Linked DNA regions of Mus musculus. The protein of the gene in region 2 purifies or fractionates together with the protein of the main gene of each other region. This does not show direct contact. Links are inferred from orthologs where the notes say so. Each region holds a gene or a part of one and is shown on either strand. Other genes may lie near its edges.

Region 1 (8,859 bases), on a different chromosome or scaffold from region 2:
GGCAAATTTTCATAAAACTCCGCTGTACATGGTGGTATGTATCAGTCTTGCCTACGTAGCAAATTCAAAGCCAGTGTAGACTGTTCAAGACCCTCTCTCAAGAAAGAAAAAAACGGGGCTGATGAGATGGCTCAACGGTTAAGAGCACTGATTGCTCTTCTGAAGGTCCTGAGTTCAAATCCCAGCAACCACATGGTGGCTCACAACCATCTGTAATGAGATCAGATGCCCTCTTCTGGTGTGTCTGAGACAGCTACAGTGTACTTACATATAATAAATAAATCTTTTTTTTTTTAAATTGTTTTTTTAGATAACAAATTGGCTTTTTAGTTGGTGTGGTGGCACATGCTTTTAGTCCAAGCCTTGGGAAGCACGGGCAGGTAGATTTCGGATTTCCAGGCCAACCTAGTCTACAGAGTAAGTTCCAGGACATCCAGGGATAGACAAAACTGTAGCTCAGAAAAATGCCTTGTAAGTCAAGTTTTCCAAAACTCAAATTGAGCCAAACCTACTAGTAAGCTTCTAATTCCATTCTCAGGGGGGCTGTGATAGAAAGATCACAAGTTCAAGGCCTGCCTGAGCCTCTCAATTCTTTTGAAGGAATGAGGATCACTGCTCAGTGGGAGTGTATCTTCCAACCATATGCAAAGGCCCTAGGTTCACCCAGTACCTTTCCCAAGAACTGCCAAGAGGTTCATTTAGACCCAGAGGCTAGCCTGACTGCAAGATAAGGGAGTGTGGGGGCAGCATTCTCAAGAGTATTTTAAGAGCCATGTGCCTTTGGACAAAGGACAACTTGAGGGATGTTCTGCTATGTGCATCTAGGGACTAGACTGTCTCGCCAGCCTTTCAAGCCCAGCCTGCCTTCATTTACTTTTATTTCTAAGGATGTCAAGACTCCCTAGCCCTTATGCAACCCAGACTGAGACTGCACTGACTTTAAACCCTACTCATTAGTAGCAACTGGCCTTATCCATGTGGAGCCTTTATCTCCCACATTAAAGCCCAAATGTTTTAAAAAACATGTTTTAAAAGAGTTCAAGATTTTGCCTACATGGGTACTGTATATGGACCTGGTACAGACAGGCCACTAGAACTGTTGTAAATCATGTGGGTGCCAGAAACCGGGGGAAATTTTCACTAAGTCCACACTAAAGTCATATAACATCTAAACAGCTAGCCTTTTAGAGCACTTAGCTTTCACGTGTTTGATTTTAATCAAGACTAAAGACTACCTATGTAGCTCACGTGGTGGAAGGCTTGCCTACCAAACCTTTGGCCCTGAATTCCATCCCCAGAAACATGCTTTTATTCTGAATGTTTTGTCTTCAAAGCACCAGTAGATGGTGCTACTCCACTTATACACGTAAGTGTGCAGGTTTGAAAAACGGTGTTTGTATCCAGCAGACACTTGCTATCAATTTCCCAGGTAGGTCTTGATTCTTATTTAGGGTCTAACAGCTTACTTAAGCTATTTCACTATTAGCAATCCATTTTAACCAGTCCTACTTGAAATAACCTCAACTAAGGAACTGACAAGCCTTTAGTAAAGAGTTTGCAGCAACAGCAACCCTTAATCCCACAAGCACTAGAATTTTATCCAGTCTCTAAGGGTAAAGATGACACATTGGATGTTTTTGCCATATCAAAGGGGTTATTACACATCACTTTTCTGAGTCTAGATTATCTAAACTTAGGCCACCTGTTTTCATCTCATGGACTTCATGACATATCCTATGCAGTCTTGCCAATCCACTTCCAGGGACTAGCCCATGTTTGTTCTGCCAAAGTCAGGCTAACATGCCTCAGTTTTGAAACTTATTTCAAATTACATGTTCTGGCAACAAGTACAGTCACTGTAACCAAAATCTCAGTATAAATACTGAACAGCTTTTACCTTATTATTGAAGGTATTCCTACCACCCTACCATCAGCTTGTTTTGCAAAAGCTCATCTTAGAAAATCCCTTTTGCTTAGCCTCTTCGTTCTCACCTATTCATTCAAGATTGGTCTTTTTAGTTAAGGTTCTCTCCTGTGTAATTGTGGAAGGAAATGCTCAAGTAATTGTCCAACCTTGCTTCATTTCCAATATTCACAAAGCACACTCAGTAATCCTATGTGGTAGCATACTCCAATGCTGCCTAAATCAAACTTAGCTGTCACACCCAAGTCTGACCTACTGCATGCAGATCCAGACAGATTGGGGTATAGGTATAGTCTGCCCAACTATACCACACCTTGGGTTGATACAGCAAAATTACTTTGTCCTCACCAGTAAGATTTGAAGTTAACCCAAATCAGCCCTGTTTATAGCTCAGTTCTGGGCAGACCCAGACAACCAGAACTCAATCCCTAAGAACATACCATGGGGACCCCAGTACCTTTGTTGTATACAGTCAGTTAACTTTCAGCATTGACCAACACAGATTTCTCATTAAACTTGTTTTAATGGTCTCAAAATTCTGTGACAGATTTTTGGTCAAGTTGTTTCCATTAAAAAGTACTGATTTTGAAAACTAATAACTTAAAACTGCCACACACAAAAAAAATGGTCCACAACATTCTTTCCTTCTGAAGGTTTTACGATGCATTGTTATCATTAACCAGTCTTTTACTATTAAACTTAAATGGCCAATTGAGACAAACAGTTCTGAGACCGTTCTTCCACCACTGATTAAGACTGGGGTGGCAGGTGTTAGGGGTAATATTCATTTAGCCTTCTGAGCTTTCTGGGCAGACTTGGTGACTTTGCCAGCTCCAGCAGCCTTCTTGTCCACAGCTTTGATGACACCCACAGCAACTGTCTGCCTCATGTCACGAACAGCAAAGCGACCTATATAGAAAAATGCCATTTATCAGTATCTTTGCTATGCAAGCAACATTTCCTATTACAAACTTGATGTTCAGTGTAGCAGACTCAGATCAGGCTTACCAAGTGGAGGGTAGTCAGAGAAGCTCTCAACACACATGGGCTTGCCAGGGACCATATCAACAATGGCAGCATCGCCAGACTTCAGGAACTTGGGGCCATCTTCCAGCTTCTTACCAGAACGACGATCGATCTTTTCTTTAAGCTCAGCAAACTTGCATGCTATGTGGGCTGTGTGACAATCCAGAACAGGAGCGTAGCCAGCACTGATTTGGCCTGGATGGTTCAGGATAATCACCTAAGAAAAACAGCGTGTATTTAAGTCTTGCCTTGTGATTCTGCACACACAACCAATCTAGCCACCTATCTTAAAAATGTGTCACCTGAGCAGTGAAGCCAGCTGCTTCCATTGGTGGGTCGTTTTTGCTGTCACCAGCAACATTGCCTCGTCTAACATCTTTGACCGACACGTTCTTTACATTGAAGCCCACATTGTCCCCAGGAAGAGCTTCACTCAAAGCTTCATGGTGCATTTCAACAGACTTGACTTCAGTTGTTACATTGACTGGAGCAAAGGTAACCACCATGCCAGGCTTGAGAACACCAGTCTCCACTCGGCCCACAGGGACAGTGCCAATGCCTAAAATAGTATTGTTTTGTATAAGTATTTAATACACAAAACATAAGACTTCAAATTCACGTCAACATTCTACTTAATATTCTACTTACCTCCAATTTTATAGACATCCTGGAGGGGCAGTCGCAGGGGCTTGTCAGTTGGACGAGTTGGTGGTAGGATACAATCCAAAGCTTCCAGCAGCGTGGTGCCACTGGCACTGCCATCTTTGCGGGTGACTTTCCATCCCTTGAACCAAGGCATCTAAAACACAGGCAGTCAATTATAACCTCCTTACTTATTGCGGCTTTCTCCATTCAACTACCTTAAAAGTCACTTACATTAGCACTTGGCTCCAGCATGTTGTCACCATTCCAACCAGAAATTGGCACAAATGCTACTGTGTCAGGGTTGTAGCCAATTTTCTTAATGTAGGTGCTGACTTCCTTAACGATTTCCTCGTATCTCTTCTGACTGTATGGTGGCTCGGTGGAATCCATTTTGTTGACACCAACAATCAGCTGTTTCACACCCAGGGTGTAAGCCAGAAGAGCATGCTCGCGGGTCTGCCCGTTCTTGGAGATACCAGCTTCAAATTCACCAACACCAGCAGCAACAATCAGGACAGCACAGTCAGCCTGTAAGAAACAAGACAATCATATACCATTATCTCAGAGAAAGCACCCCACTAAAAAATATCCTGAGTCAGGAATGGGTAAATTTTACACACCTGGGATGTGCCTGTAATCATGTTTTTGATGAAGTCTCTGTGTCCTGGGGCATCAATGATGGTCACATAGTATTTGCTGGTCTCGAATTTCCACAGGGAGATGTCAATAGTGATACCACGCTCACGCTCAGCTTTCAGTTTGTCTAAGACCCAGGCGTACTTGAAGGAGCCCTTTCCCATCTGCAAAGTGACTTCTAATTAGTACACCCAAGACCTAGGTTCTACTCCCTGCTTAAAGAATTCCCATCCCTCCTTTTGCCTTATACTTGCCTCAGCAGCCTCCTTCTCAAACTTTTCGATGGTTCGCTTGTCGATTCCACCACATTTGTAGATCAGGTGGCCGGTTGTGGTGGACTTGCCGGAATCTACGTGTCCGATTACGACGATGTTGATGTGAGTCTTTTCCTTTCCCATTTTTGCTTTGAATTAGCGGTGGTTTTCACAACACCTAAAAAAGGGTTTAAAAGATACCTTTGAACCGCTAAGAAGCCCGAGAATTAGCTCCGCTCAAAACTCAAGGGGACAAATTCCAAAAATGACTTCCAGCGCCAGGCTGGCCTGACTAGTCTCCACCCACCAAATGTGAACAAACTCCAACGCCATTACATCCCCTCCCCCCGCCGCGACTAGCCGTGCTCAAAAGCCCGAGGTGACTATTGCGGCCGATAGGACCACGGGGTCACAGGAAGCAGCAGCCGGTGAGGGACCAGGCCCTCTTCCTTTGTGTGGGTGACTCACCCGCCCGCTCCACCGGGCTGCCGCGTCCTCCATTTTGAGCTCCTTGCAACAGGGCCCGGGAGCGGCCATCTTTCCACGCACGCAACTGGTGCCGGACGGGATGGCCTCACCCTAGTTAGGGAGGCAGGGCAACGCGGCGCCGCCAAGCCAGATCGTGCCGGGTGCTGGGGCCACATGGCCTCGGCACGCTAACCCCAGCCTGGTTGCTTCGGGAAAAACCCCAGGCCTCGCCCCATCCAGGTGGCGTCGGACATGTGCTCCGAAGGCGGGCGGGCCCCAGCCGCCACTCCTGTCCCTCCATTCCTCCCCAACCATGACCTCTCCGGGCTCCGGGCGAGCAAGCCCCGCACCCTCCCTTTGTTAGCCCCTATTGCTGAACGGCAATCGAAGGCAGCAGGGCAACAACAACAACAAAAAAAAAAAGACCAGAGTGCGGCCGGAGTAGCACGCGGCGGCGGCGCGGACACCACGCTAGGCCTCAAGCCGGACACGAGGCGAGGCTACGGGGTTGCCGCTAGGCCTCGCACTCTGCCTCCCGCGCCGCCCGCAACTCGAAGCGGGAATGCTCGCAGCTAATCCCCGCCGACGACAGCGGGGCCCGGCCCGCTCGGAGCAGGACCTCCAGCTCGGCGGCCCGCGGAAGCCACACCCGCCCCTCACCTGCGTTCTGACGGCAAACCCGTTGCGAAAAAGAACGTCCAAGGCGACTGCCGCACTTATATACCGTTCTCCCCCACCCTCGGGAAGAGGGCGGAGCCAGCACACGACACCGCTTTCCCAGTTTGCCCCGCGCCAGCTCCCCGGTCCTCCCCCCCATCACCCCCCCCCCCCCCGCTCAGTGCGCCCCTCCCCCCACGACCAGGGTCTATGAGCTTGTGTGCTCTGCTCTCCCCGCGCTCAGCCCTGAGCGCATGCTCCTCGCACTGTGGTGGGGCGGGTACCGGGATTATGGGTTATGAGAATTTAGCGACGGTCCCTGGGACTTCCCCAGGCGAAGGCGATCCCTCCTTTTGTATGAATTACTCTTGGCCCTAGCGGAGGGTGGGGCGGCGAGAAGCTGGCCAAGAGGGCGGCCAGAATCTATCCCTACTCTTCCTTACTCCGCTGCCAAGGCTGTGTCAAGATCCGGGTGTCCCTTCCCACGGAGGCCACCTCCCGACGTCAGCCCCGCTATCCTTCTGTTCGCCTCCCGCAGCCCATGCTCTCCTGGCTGGGAGAGGAACACAATGTTGGGGACCCTTCCCGGCTCTAGAACCCAAGGGCTTAGCTCAGTAGCGGAGAGCTCGACCGATCTGCCCCTGGGCTGGCCCCTTGGTTTATTCCATCCAATGCCGGTTGATTCTCTGGAAACCTGAAGCGGCCTTCACACCCCTAAGGGTTCAGTTCAGAATATGCTTCAATCCTACAGTTAGCTTTACTTTGATTCTAGGTTTGTTACACTAAAAAGATTGTATGTGTACATGTGTATGTACAGCCATTTGATTGAACATGAGAAACCTGAAAATAATCTAATCCACCCCACATGGTCTCATCTAAATACCAGCATCAGCAATCTCCCAGCGCCCATCCCTAACACTTGTGAAATCACTGCTTCTCAAAAATGGCTTGCCTTGTTAGTTACATCCCTTTCTTTGCTGCAATTCTAGCGATCATACCAGCATTGTTTTGTTATTGAGACAAGGTCTCTCTTTTTTAGCCCTGGCTGCCCTGGAATAGGTAGTAGACCAGGCTGACTTCAAATTCACAGGAATCCGACCTGGACCTGCTGGGATTAAAGCCCTGGCCATTTTTAAATGCCTCTCAGAGCAGGCACACAGAAGTGTTTCTCAGAGGAAAGAAGAACTTCTTTGTTTTGTTTTTTAATGCTAGAGATGGAAAAAGAATTATTTTGTAATGGGATATGGGGTGCTGGAGATGGAACCCTAGGGTGTCTATCACCAAGTTACAGTTCCTAGCTCAAAGATATCCTATCTGATTATCCATCATTGGATCTCCTCTCCCAGGTGTACAACATCACTTCCCAGTTACAAACATTTGATGTTCTTGCACCAACCTTACTAGGAGCATTTGAGGGCCTCTGTCTAGTGTTCACAAAAACACACAGGATTTGCAAAGGAACTATTTGTTTCTGGGGAAGAGTTCCACAGTCAAGGGAAAAACTTAAATATAAAACAATTTGGAACCAGTTCAAAGCAAATTTACATGATGCTTCTCATTTCTTGTCTAGTTCTAGTTTTCAACTATTTTTCACATCCCAAACTGTTGTTTTTTAACTTTTTTTTAAAAGTGGTATTTATTTAGTGTGTGTGAATGCGTGTGCCACATCACCCTGTGCGGAGGCCAGAGGCCAGAGGCCACCTTTCGTGGGGCAGGTTTGCCCCTCAACTACGTGGACCTATGGGATCTAACTCAGTCAGGCTTTGCAGCAAACGCCTGTACCCAGAGAGCCATTTCATGTCCTACTTTTGTTTTTGTTTGAAACAGAACTTGATGTAGCTCAGGCTGGCCTCAAACTCATGTTGCTGAGGCTGGCCTTCAATTTTTTTTTTTTTTTTTTGGTTTTTCGAGACAGGGTTTCTCTGTGTAGCCCTGGCTGTCCTAGAGCTCACTTTGTAGACCAGGCTGGCCTCGAACTCAGAAATCCGCCTGCCTCTGCCTCCCGAGTGCTGGGATTAAAGGTATGCACCACCATGCCCTGCTGGCCTTCAATTTCTAATCTTCCTAGCTCCACTTCTCAAGTACTGGGATCTCAGGTGTGCCCCCCCACCCCGCATCCTCCCCACAGCCCTCCCACCCCCACCCCAGGCTTCTTTTCTTGCCTAAGTGAGAAACAAAGACCCTGTAATAGCCTTCCTAATTCTTAGTTTACAGATCCTTATAACTTCCTAAAGGCAGATTTTCTCACTCATCAGGTGGCTTCTAGCTTCATTTTCATCTAACACTGGTAATTGTAATCAAAGAATCCAGGACAACGTTTCCCTCCAAGTATATACATATAACTAATCATTTGCTATCCACAGAAGCCTTTTCTTTTTCTGGTCAATGAGGTTGTTAAAGGATCACACACAGGATCTATTCTATGCGTGCTAGGCACACAAAAGCCTTTTCTGTAATGTCCACATTAGCCTCTCTCATTTCACAAATTCTTTTTTTCCACACAGAATTTTTCTGGGGTCCCTAGCCAGTCATATGCATACAGGATAGAATTATCTTGATACCCTACTGCCTATTTGTAACAGGAGAAATTGTAAGAAATACTCGAAAACCCATCGGCAGCAACAGAACCCACTCTCTGCTCTCTCTCTCATTTATTTCCTTGGAGACACTGGCTAGAGACTCCTCTTTGCAGCTTGTTTCCCACAGTCAGCGGTGGGATACATTAGTGTATACAGTAGTGGTATCTGTCCCACACGAGATATTATCGAGATATTATTTTCCATGCTTGCTTTAGCAATATATGCTTCCAATGGTTTGGGCTTATATATTATTGGGGTAATAGAATAGTACACATCTTTTATTTTGTCTTCTTTAGTTTTCAAGACAAAGTTTCTCTATGTAACATCCCTGGCTGTCCTGGAACTCACTTTGTAGACCAGGCCAGCCTCGAATTCACTGGGATCTGCCGGCCTCTGCCGCCCCTGTGCTGGGATTAAAGGCCTACACCACCAAGCCTGGCAACCCTGCATATTTTTTTTAGCAGGAATGGCACATTTTTGACAATGTAAAGAAATTATTATTTTATGACCTGAGGGTTTGAATCAAAAGATTAAAGACTGAAAGTTTAGAGGATTTGTTTTCATTTTTTTATTTTATATATGTGGACGTTTTGCCTGCACGTGTGTCTATGCACTGTGTGCATTCCAGGTGCCCTCCCTGGGGGGCGGGGGAGGGGGGAGTGTCAGGGTG
Region 2 (8,986 bases):
CCAGTCTCTTCAGACTTACCATCAAACTGAGCCATCTTCTCACACAGCTTCACCTCCCCCAAGATAGCCCTGAACTGGGGCTGGTTAATGCAGGTAAGGAACCACCGGTTGGTATTGGGGAAGGCCTGGCGAAAAGAAGGCTCTAAGACCTGCCAAGAGGGAATGGCAGAAACAAGATCAATAATGGAAAGGCCATGAACAGATTTCAAACCACAGCAAAAGCCCCTTACCTCCAGGTCCACTGTCCTCTCCATGCCACATCAGAACCTTAAATGACTACACCTCCAGGAAGACTCCTTTTCAAAGAAAAGTTTTCAAAGAAGACTCCTTTTATGTGTATTGAGTGTTTTACCTACATATACACATATACGACATACATGCAGTGTTCCCTGAGGCCGTAAGACAGTGCCAGGATCCCTTGGAAATGGAGCTGTAGATGACTGAGGCATTATATGGGTGCTGGTAATTAAACCCTGGCGGAAGGGTGGCCATTGCCCTTAACCACATAACTGTTGAGCTCTTTCCAGTATTCTCTGTGTTTCAGTCAGCTTTATTACATAACCCAAGTGAGCCTTTCACATCAGGATCCTCCCATCTCCACTCTGCTGTGCTGGGAGTATAGGCGCTTTCTCCCTCGTCTTTAGTTCAGTCGAGGATGGCTGTTCCCAGTCCTTCATGCACCATTGCTACTTAATGATTTCATATTCTGCTCTTTCATCTATTCTTTTCTTTTAAAGTTTTATTTATTTCATGTAAGTGAGTACTGGTGTGTCTTCAGCCACACCAGAAGAGGGCATCAGATCCTATTACAGATGGTTGTGAGCCACCATGTGGTTGCTGGGAATTGAACTCAGGACCTCTGGAAAAGCAGCTGGCGCTCTTAACCACTGAGCCATCTCTCTAGCCCCTCTTTCATCTATTCTTAATTTTAAAAATTTCATGCCAACAATCCCAGCACCAAGAAAGCAAAGCAGAGGCAGGCAGAGCTGAGTTTTAGGGCAGCCTGGTCTACAGAGAAACCCTATCCCCCCCACCCCCCCAAAAAAGATTGAAAAGGCTGTAAGAAGAGCCTGTCTAGAGTACCGGGGGGGGCTAGGAATGTGGCTTAGTAGCAGGTGACCCAGACATTGGTCAAGGCACCGGGTTCCAAATCAGCACCCAAATGGGGTAGAGTGGGGTGACTACCACACTTATTTTGCTATGACAACCCTCCAAAAAAAGATACTTCGTGTGTGATGCTAGGAATGGGACATAAAGCATGCCAGGTAAATCACTGGGCTCCACGCTAGCCCCGCACTGCGACTCTAACACACACAGAAGGCACAAGCAACCCAAGACTAGATAGAGCAGCAACACAGCACGTGCCCAGCAGACACAACACAGTCCTTCCTTCAAACCTCGTCCTTGAAAAACTTACATTCATTCTTATGTTTTAGTGCTTTTCTTCCAAGTATATCTGTGCCCACTTAGATCATAAAACACCGGCTCCCCGAGTTGGCGTTATATAGTTTTAAGCTGCCATTTGTGTATTGGGAAATAAACATAGCCTCTGCAAAACAAGAACTCTTCGAGTGCTGAGCCATCTCTCCTGCCCCACACTACCATCTTACAAGCTCCTGTTTGGTACTTTTCTGTATCTGGGTGTCTTGCCTGTGCGTTTGTCTATGCACCACGTGCATTCCTAGGGCTCACGGAAGCTGGAACATCAGATCTTCTGGAAATGGAGTTCCAGTTGTGAGAAGCGTGTGGGTGCTGAGAATCCACCAGAGTCCTCTGGAAGAGCAGCAAGCATTTTTTAAAACTATTGACTCATCTCTCCAGCCCCTGTCATTTTCTACTTTGTCAAAACAGGAGTGGGTAGAAGGGTAAATCATGGAGACAGATCACAGAATTCAGTTAGTCACGCACCGCAAGTTCTGCAGTGACTTGAACATGTACTTGCTGTGTGTTGTGGCCATGGAAGGATTATAATGAACCCTGTGAGGCACACCAGTCTGGCAAACAATGGCATTTTTTTTTGTTCTCACTGGACTGTAATTCTGAACCAGAATGGGTCCAGAGCTGCTGCCGCCTAGAAATCAGCAACACAATATTAAAAAAAAAAAAAAAAACAAACATGGGGGTTGGGGGCAGCTGGGGATGGCTACCTGGTTTGATTCCTAGCACACACATAGTAGCTCACAGCCATCTGTAACTCAAGCTCCTTGGGATCTGCATGCATGCACACACATATGCAAATACATGTAGACATAAGCTGAATACCACCTTGGACTTATCACAGATAAATAACTATGAGAATTCTTATACCACTGCATCTTTAAACACTGAAGTTAAGACAGAGACCTGAATCTGCCTCCAAAAGCTCTCGCTGCTGCAGTCACTATCCCTGTCTCTTACATCTTTGATTTTTGCTTTCTATTTTTGATATCACTATGTAGCCTAGGGTGGCCTTAAACCAGAATGATCCTCCTGTCTCAGTATCTCAAGTGCTGGGATTACACAAGTATGAGCTACCACACGCAGCCTTTATCCATCTTTAATAAGATGGAAACAGTCACAGTTCTCACTGTTGGGATCCCTACAATCATTAACTACTGGTCTGTCTTAAGCAAAAACAGGGTTACCCTAATACAGGTCTAACCCCTGTCACATGGGATATAAACCTTACCTGTTTATAGAGCCACAACAGGGTACAGACAACTGTAATATCAGCCAGTGTCACTCGCTCGCCCACTAGAAAAGTTCGAGTCTTCAAGTGAGTGTCCAGCAGCCCCAGGATTCGCTTCACCTCCTCTTTCGCATTTTCAGTGGCCTGTTGTTTTGAATACTCAAGCTTAGTGGGTACCAAGTCCCTTTCCTCAGATCCCCCCACCAACAGAACTAAAGAAGCCATTTAACCAGCCATCGACTCAACCCCCACCCTCTATCATTAGACTCTAGAATCAGTTGAAACTTATCAGAAATGAAATCACTCGTGTTAGATATCTTCATGATCAACATGACTTTATTTGCACCATACTGATGGTAGCCACTTTAGTCTGCATTGCCCCCACACTCCTGCTATCTTTTCCTTCATCTGTCTCCCAGTCCCAAAATGTAGGCTCTGACTCTATCTCTGGCCCAGCTTCTCCCCAAGTTCCAAAGCGTACCTGTTTGTTGTGGTGCATAATGCCCAAGGTGGGGAACACCCAGGTACTAGCTGGAGGAACGATGTCACTGTCAGCAAAGCTGACCCACTGCACCACCTGAGCTGCCGCCTCTGGCGTACTTCCTCGCAGCTCCTCATTGCTTACTGCAAAGGCAGACATAGAGCTTAGAACTTTGACCTCATGCCAAAACCAAGCCGGGTCTCTGATTCCACCTTGTCCGCCACAGCCGCTTCTACAGCCTTACCCCCATACCCTCTCACGCCTGTATCCCCACAAATTACCATAATAGGCAATGGCATTGCTCTCAAACACACAGAATCCATCATCACCCTCAAATGCTGGAACCTGTGGAGAAAGTAGCAGAAAACATAAACACAGAGATTTCTCAGTAGCCAATTCTCCAGGCTGAATTGTTCTAAATAATATGTTAAGACAGACAACTCTTGCTACGCTAATTCATGACATCTCAAGCTCAGAAGTGAAAATTACTTAGTATCCCTCATGATATGAATTCACAAGGGTGAAATTCAAACATAGCTAAAGTGTGGTGCCCCATACCCTTGTCTGAAACCAGCCAGCAAGCTACTGAGACCCCACCTCAAAATAAACAAATTCAGATATGGATGCCACCCAACAATCCCACAGCTTCACTGCCCAAATCATTAGGTGCCATCCAGACTTAGCATTTGCCTCTATATTTAGATTTGGATATTTAGCTCTACTCATGCTCTATGGGGTAAGAATCCAACTCTCAAGACATACTTAGTACATACATACAGATAACACCTGGTGAAAATACATTTTATCCTACAAATATAAACCAGGCCTGGAACTCCTGACAGTCACTGAACAGCTGTGAATACAATGGAACTTCATAATTACAATGGAGACAGGATCTTACTATACTTATAGGCTTGCTTCACACAATCTCCCTGCCTCGGTCTCCGGGAGCTTTCAAAATTATTTTTTTCCTTTGGGCAGTCAAGTTCAGAGGCTTTAATAGGTTACATTCCTAGCCCCTTAAAATTTCTTTAAAAAAATATATATATAAATAAATACACACACACACACACCATGGGGGCCATCTCCAGAATAATGGAATTCTAGAGATCCCAGATGCTTCCCCACTCACCTTGCCGGCAGGAAATTTTCGGAGAAATTCAGGGGTGCGGTTGGTTTGGCCAAAGTGGAAGTGGGGTGGTGCGGAGAGCACGCGGACCTGAGCCCCGCTGTACTGAGCAGCGATGAGGGCCTTGAAGGCCCTCCAATTTTCAGGGTATGTGTACAGGGTCTACAAGAGAAAGGGTGAAGGATGGACTAGAGGCAAGGAACCCTGAATGCCACTCCCCACGCACACTTCCATGCAATTCCAATGTGCACAGCTTAGATTCACTCCTAGTGAACCGAGTATGCCCCATGTAATCAGAGTCCTCTGAAATACCAAGAAGAACATCCCAGCTGCTAAATAAAGCTTACCGACAGATGTGACCTCTCTTAAGGACATCTCTAGAGGCATTCTTCCCTTCAAAACTTCTGGTCCCATCTGCCTAAACACACGAACACTCACACCCATCTCTCCCAGAACCCTTGTTTCATTCATTGGCGGTGACCCGGAGTCTAACTACTTCCAGGCTGCTATCACTTCAAAAGCACACACACAGACCAAGGGATTTCAAAGTTCCCCTCAGAATCGACACGCTGAATTCTAATGTTCATCAGTTATTCTTCCTGAAATGCCTTTCTTTGCACATGGCGAATTAGCAACCCTCTGGTCCTGTCCTGCAGTGAGTTCCCAGTTGTCTCCCTACTAAAATCTCACCAGCAGGGTCCATATGGGCTCACTTCACCCCCCCTTTATTCCTCTGGCTCCCAAACCTCCCCGAAGGTCAACTCCCAACGTGCCAGTCGCCCCTTCCCACAAAGACCCTCTCCTTTCCACGTCCTCGTTGTTGTCCCACAAAACGGTGGCAAAAGTTCCACCAACCTGCTCAGACGCCACACCTCAAAATGGCAGTGAGGTTAAACACTTTTTAAAGGTCCAGACAATGGAGACCCAGCATCTTTTTTCTCCTCAACCCCAGAACGTTCCACCTCTAGCCTCTGAGCCCCAGCCTCAGTTCCCCTCCAGGCCCTAGAAACCATGCTCTCCGACCGTACGGCTTGTGAACCCCAGATCGGCTCGCGGCTTGGGTCTGAAACTCCCCTGGCGCCGACTGGCCCCACTCAGGCAAAGGATGGCGGTGGATAGGGTGACCCTAATCACCGGAGCCGGCAAACTTACCCCAGCCGCCATGGTGATTCCGCAGAGAAAGGGGGTGGGGCTGTCGGTGCTGCCGCAAAGTAAGCCGCAAAGGAGACAAGGGAGGAGGAAAGGAGAGAGCAGTGTGGAAACAGCGGCCGGAAAGCGAGGACGGCATAAAAGGCATACGCACGACAGTTCCGTCTACAGCCCCGCTGAGTTGGAAAAAGCGAGGGGTGGGGCCCGCAGCCTGGAGCGCAGAGAGCGGGCGCCTGCGTAGTATAACTCTGGACGATCCTGCCCCGCCCGCGTCGCCGACCAATCGGAAGCCTGATAGGAGACGGAGCTCACCCAGGGAGGGGAAAAGTGTGAGAACCCGGCGGAAGCACCGCCCCTCGAAGGCTGGTATCTGGAACCCGTGACAAACTACAGGAACTGCCTTAAGGAAGGGGTGGCAATTTACTGAATTCCTTTTGTTCCTGTTCGGGTTTTTTCTGTAAAGGGTCTGTCTGTTCAGCTGGGGCCCACGGCCGAAAACATCTGAAAGTAGGTCTGCTCCGATTAAACTCCGTGCTGTTAAAACTTACACAACAAAGCAGCACGGACCAACTTGCCACGTCACCAGCACCACTCAGGCTTGGCTGCGCCCCAGAGGGTCGGGTAAGGCAGCCCAGTTCTGATACAATAGTTTACACATATCCAAATTTGAAAATAAATCTTGACTCCAGCTTATGGGCAATTTGAACTCTCTTTCACGTTAAAGGATAGAAAAGACAAACCCTAAACCCAAATTTGTGGTTCCCATCACCTGGAGCAGCAGGACAAGTCTCGTGTGGGCAAAGGTTGTTCTCAGAAATCAGTGCCTTTGCCTCGTGGAGGTGGCACTCCCTAGGAAAGTGCTGGCAAGTGGGAAGGAGAGCTCTGAAGTGGAAGTCATAGGACTGTTTTAGAGTAGTCAGGCCAGAAGCTACATTGAGGCAAAGAAAAAAGGCGTTACCAGGAGGAAAACAAAGACCTCGTAATGGTCTTATGAGGGAGTATGCAAAAGAACATTAAATGTCTGTATGAAATAAACTAGCAGCTTTATTGTTTTTGAGGTTTGGTTCCTCACTTGAGGAGATTTTTAAGTGCTTGAGGGATAAAACCCTGTAGAAAATGATGAAGACCAGGGAACAGGCCTTGGGAGTCCTGGAGTGGGGCCACAGTGAGTGTCTGCTCAGCCTGGGAGGCAGATGCCACAAAGCTGAGGAGGGGCTCCCCCGGCGGCCTCTCTTGCTCACTATTGGGTCCTTTTAGTTCCTGGGTCACACGAGCTTCCATTGCCAGCCACTCTGCTCCTGTGGTGGGACCTCCTCTACCTTCTTCCTTGGTTTGTTGCTGTAATCGTCTCCGGGCACGCCGCCTCCCCTGCCATACTTGGTGCCACAAGGCACAGCGCCAGCTCACTGATGATGGGTGTGATGCCTCCTTCCCTGTCTCACCCTGAGACCCTTCTCCAGCCACTTCAGGTTTCATGGGATTATGCTCAGCTGCCTTGTCTAGACAGTTTGCAGTCATCAGGGGCAACTCCTCCTCTGGTGGTCCCGAGTGCAACAAGGCCCAGTCCTGAGGTGTCTCTCGAACCTCTATTACCATTTCTTCTACCTCATTTTCACTGTGGTCCCCTGCACATCCCTGTGGCTCCTCTTTCCCTTCCTCGAAGCTCTTTTCTTGCCCACCAAGTCTCTGTCTTTTGTTCACCCCTCCCAAGGGAGAGTCTTTAATTCTGGCACCTTCTGACCGTCGTCTCTTGGTTCCCTGTTCTATGTGGCATCCTAGTGCTTCCCTTAACACATCCACCAAAGCCATAATGACCTGTGGAAAGGGGGCAGAGGGTAAGGGGATGAGCTTGGCAGACAGCAGGGAGCTAGGGGAGCTGGGCTGCAAAAGCGGGAGCAGTCCCCAGTCCCGGCCCCGGGAGGAACGCTGCTGGTACTGGAGACTTCGGCAGTAACTGGCTGCTGCCCCACAACAGCTCTGCAGACGTTTAGCCACCCGGCCGGTCACATTGGCTGCAACATTGTGACTCAGGTCAAAGGGGTCCTGGAGATTCATGGGGCCAAGGCGCAGCCCTTCCCAGAGATCAGAAGGCAGGCCCTCTGCCACCATCAATGGCCGACCTTCCCGCAGGGACAGCAGGGAGCCAGAAAGATCCAAGCAAGATACGCAGGAGAAGAACTGGGCCAGCAGGGAACCTGATGGAGGCAGATTAGAAAAAAGGGGGTCACCTGGAAGCCATAACTGGGACATCCCTGCAGCTACTTCAGTGGGACTCTCTTCCCTTCATAGGACTTCAGAAGTGTCCTGAGAAACCCAGCCATGCCCTGCCTGACCCAGATGCTTCTGCTTGGCCTAGAGAGCAGGGAAACTGGGGAATACACCTCTTACTTGCCTGCCCAAGATACGTGTTTTTCCATCCATAAAACAGCTGCCATAGGCTACTATGAAGACCATGCCTTACACACAAGTATAATATATGTCTCTTATTCTTGAGCATGCCTTGCACACAAGTATATGTCCCCTATTCTTGAGCCTGTCATCACAATCAGTTTTCTACCAGGTTCCCCAGACTCACTGAGAGGCTCCACGTTGGTGCTGGGCTCCAATCTTGAGGCATCCTTAGGGAAGCTACAGTCCCAGCCATCAACTTCTACCTGTTCCCCTTCACCTGTGACAGTAAGAAGAGACAGTCAGCCCAGAGCCAGTCAGCCCAGAGTCTGCCATTGATGGTGGCAGAGGGCCTGCCTTCTGATCTCTGGGAAGGGCAGAGCCAGAGATCTCATCTCGGGGCTTCTGAAGTGTGAAGGGGTGAGATGAAGCTGAGGTCATGACAGTAGAGGCCGTTCTGCAGTACCTGCTCTCTGGGTAAGCTGGGCCACAGTAGGAAGTACTGGAGGGTCTCTGGTCTGAAGGAAGTAGATCACTAACAACGTCAAGGCGTAGTTATTGAGAAGGGGGCCACCTCCTGGATAATAACCAATAATTCAAGTTAGGAAGAAGTATTTACAAGCCCTGGTTTCTGTGCCCACCTCTTTTTTTCTTGCTAAATCCCTGCCTTTGCCTGACACAAACTTGGGCCAAGTCTGTTCTCATTCTTACCTGACAGCCCATTATGCTGAGCCCAGCAGCGTAAGGTATACACAAGGGGCCGGACTCGACCATCCATCTCAGAGCAGAGATTCAGGAAACGTGAATTATATAAGGCCAACCTAGGACAATGGAGAAGCAAAGGTGTTAGAAATTTTCCCAAAGTTCTACTGACATAATGATCTTATGAGGGAGTATGCAAAAGAACATTAAATGGATCTTAGGGATGTGGCTCAGTGGTGGGACATTTACCTAGCACTGATAAAGCCCTGTGTTGTATCCTGAGCCTAGGGATGAGGTAGGGGGGAATATGTATCCACTGAACCTTAGGCAATACTACATTCCAAATGCTCACCCTGTACTGTCACCATTCATAAGACATGTTGTTTATTTATATAGGACTGCTCAACGGCCAGGTGTAGTAGCACGTGCCTATAATTTCAATACTCAAGAGATTGAATAGGAATATAGA

What was found.
Region 1: the proteins of Eef1g (region 2) and Eef1a1 purify together in Homo sapiens (affinity purification with mass spectrometry; 5 studies listed by BioGRID and IntAct, counting the BioPlex papers as one, with this or other methods). This does not show direct contact. The link is inferred for Mus musculus from reciprocal best matches to the Homo sapiens genes EEF1G and EEF1A1.

Annotation. Positions count from the first base shown.
Region 1 is NC_000075.6:78,476,026-78,484,884, forward strand, and holds Eef1a1 (elongation factor 1-alpha 1), read right to left. Parts: upstream 5,700-8,859; 5' UTR 5,614-5,699; intron 4,664-5,613; 5' UTR 4,630-4,663; coding exon 4,486-4,629; intron 4,396-4,485; coding exon 4,216-4,395; intron 4,124-4,215; coding exon 3,827-4,123; intron 3,750-3,826; coding exon 3,599-3,749; intron 3,510-3,598; coding exon 3,253-3,509; intron 3,168-3,252; coding exon 2,933-3,167; intron 2,834-2,932; coding exon 2,709-2,833; 3' UTR 2,428-2,708; downstream 1-2,427. UniProt on the Homo sapiens protein: Translation elongation factor that catalyzes the GTP-dependent binding of aminoacyl-tRNA (aa-tRNA) to the A-site of ribosomes during the elongation phase of protein synthesis.
Region 2 is NC_000085.6:8,963,670-8,972,655, reverse strand, and holds the start of Eef1g (elongation factor 1-gamma), read right to left. Parts: upstream 5,616-8,986; 5' UTR 5,443-5,615; coding exon 5,431-5,442; intron 4,441-5,430; coding exon 4,282-4,440; intron 3,495-4,281; coding exon 3,431-3,494; intron 3,293-3,430; coding exon 3,150-3,292; intron 2,813-3,149; coding exon 2,669-2,812; intron 150-2,668; coding exon 20-149; intron 1-19. Other genes in the region: Tut1 (speckle targeted PIP5K1A-regulated poly(A) polymerase), read right to left, coding at 6,496-7,622, 8,003-8,095, 8,282-8,392, 8,527-8,636. UniProt on the Homo sapiens protein: Probably plays a role in anchoring the complex to other cellular components.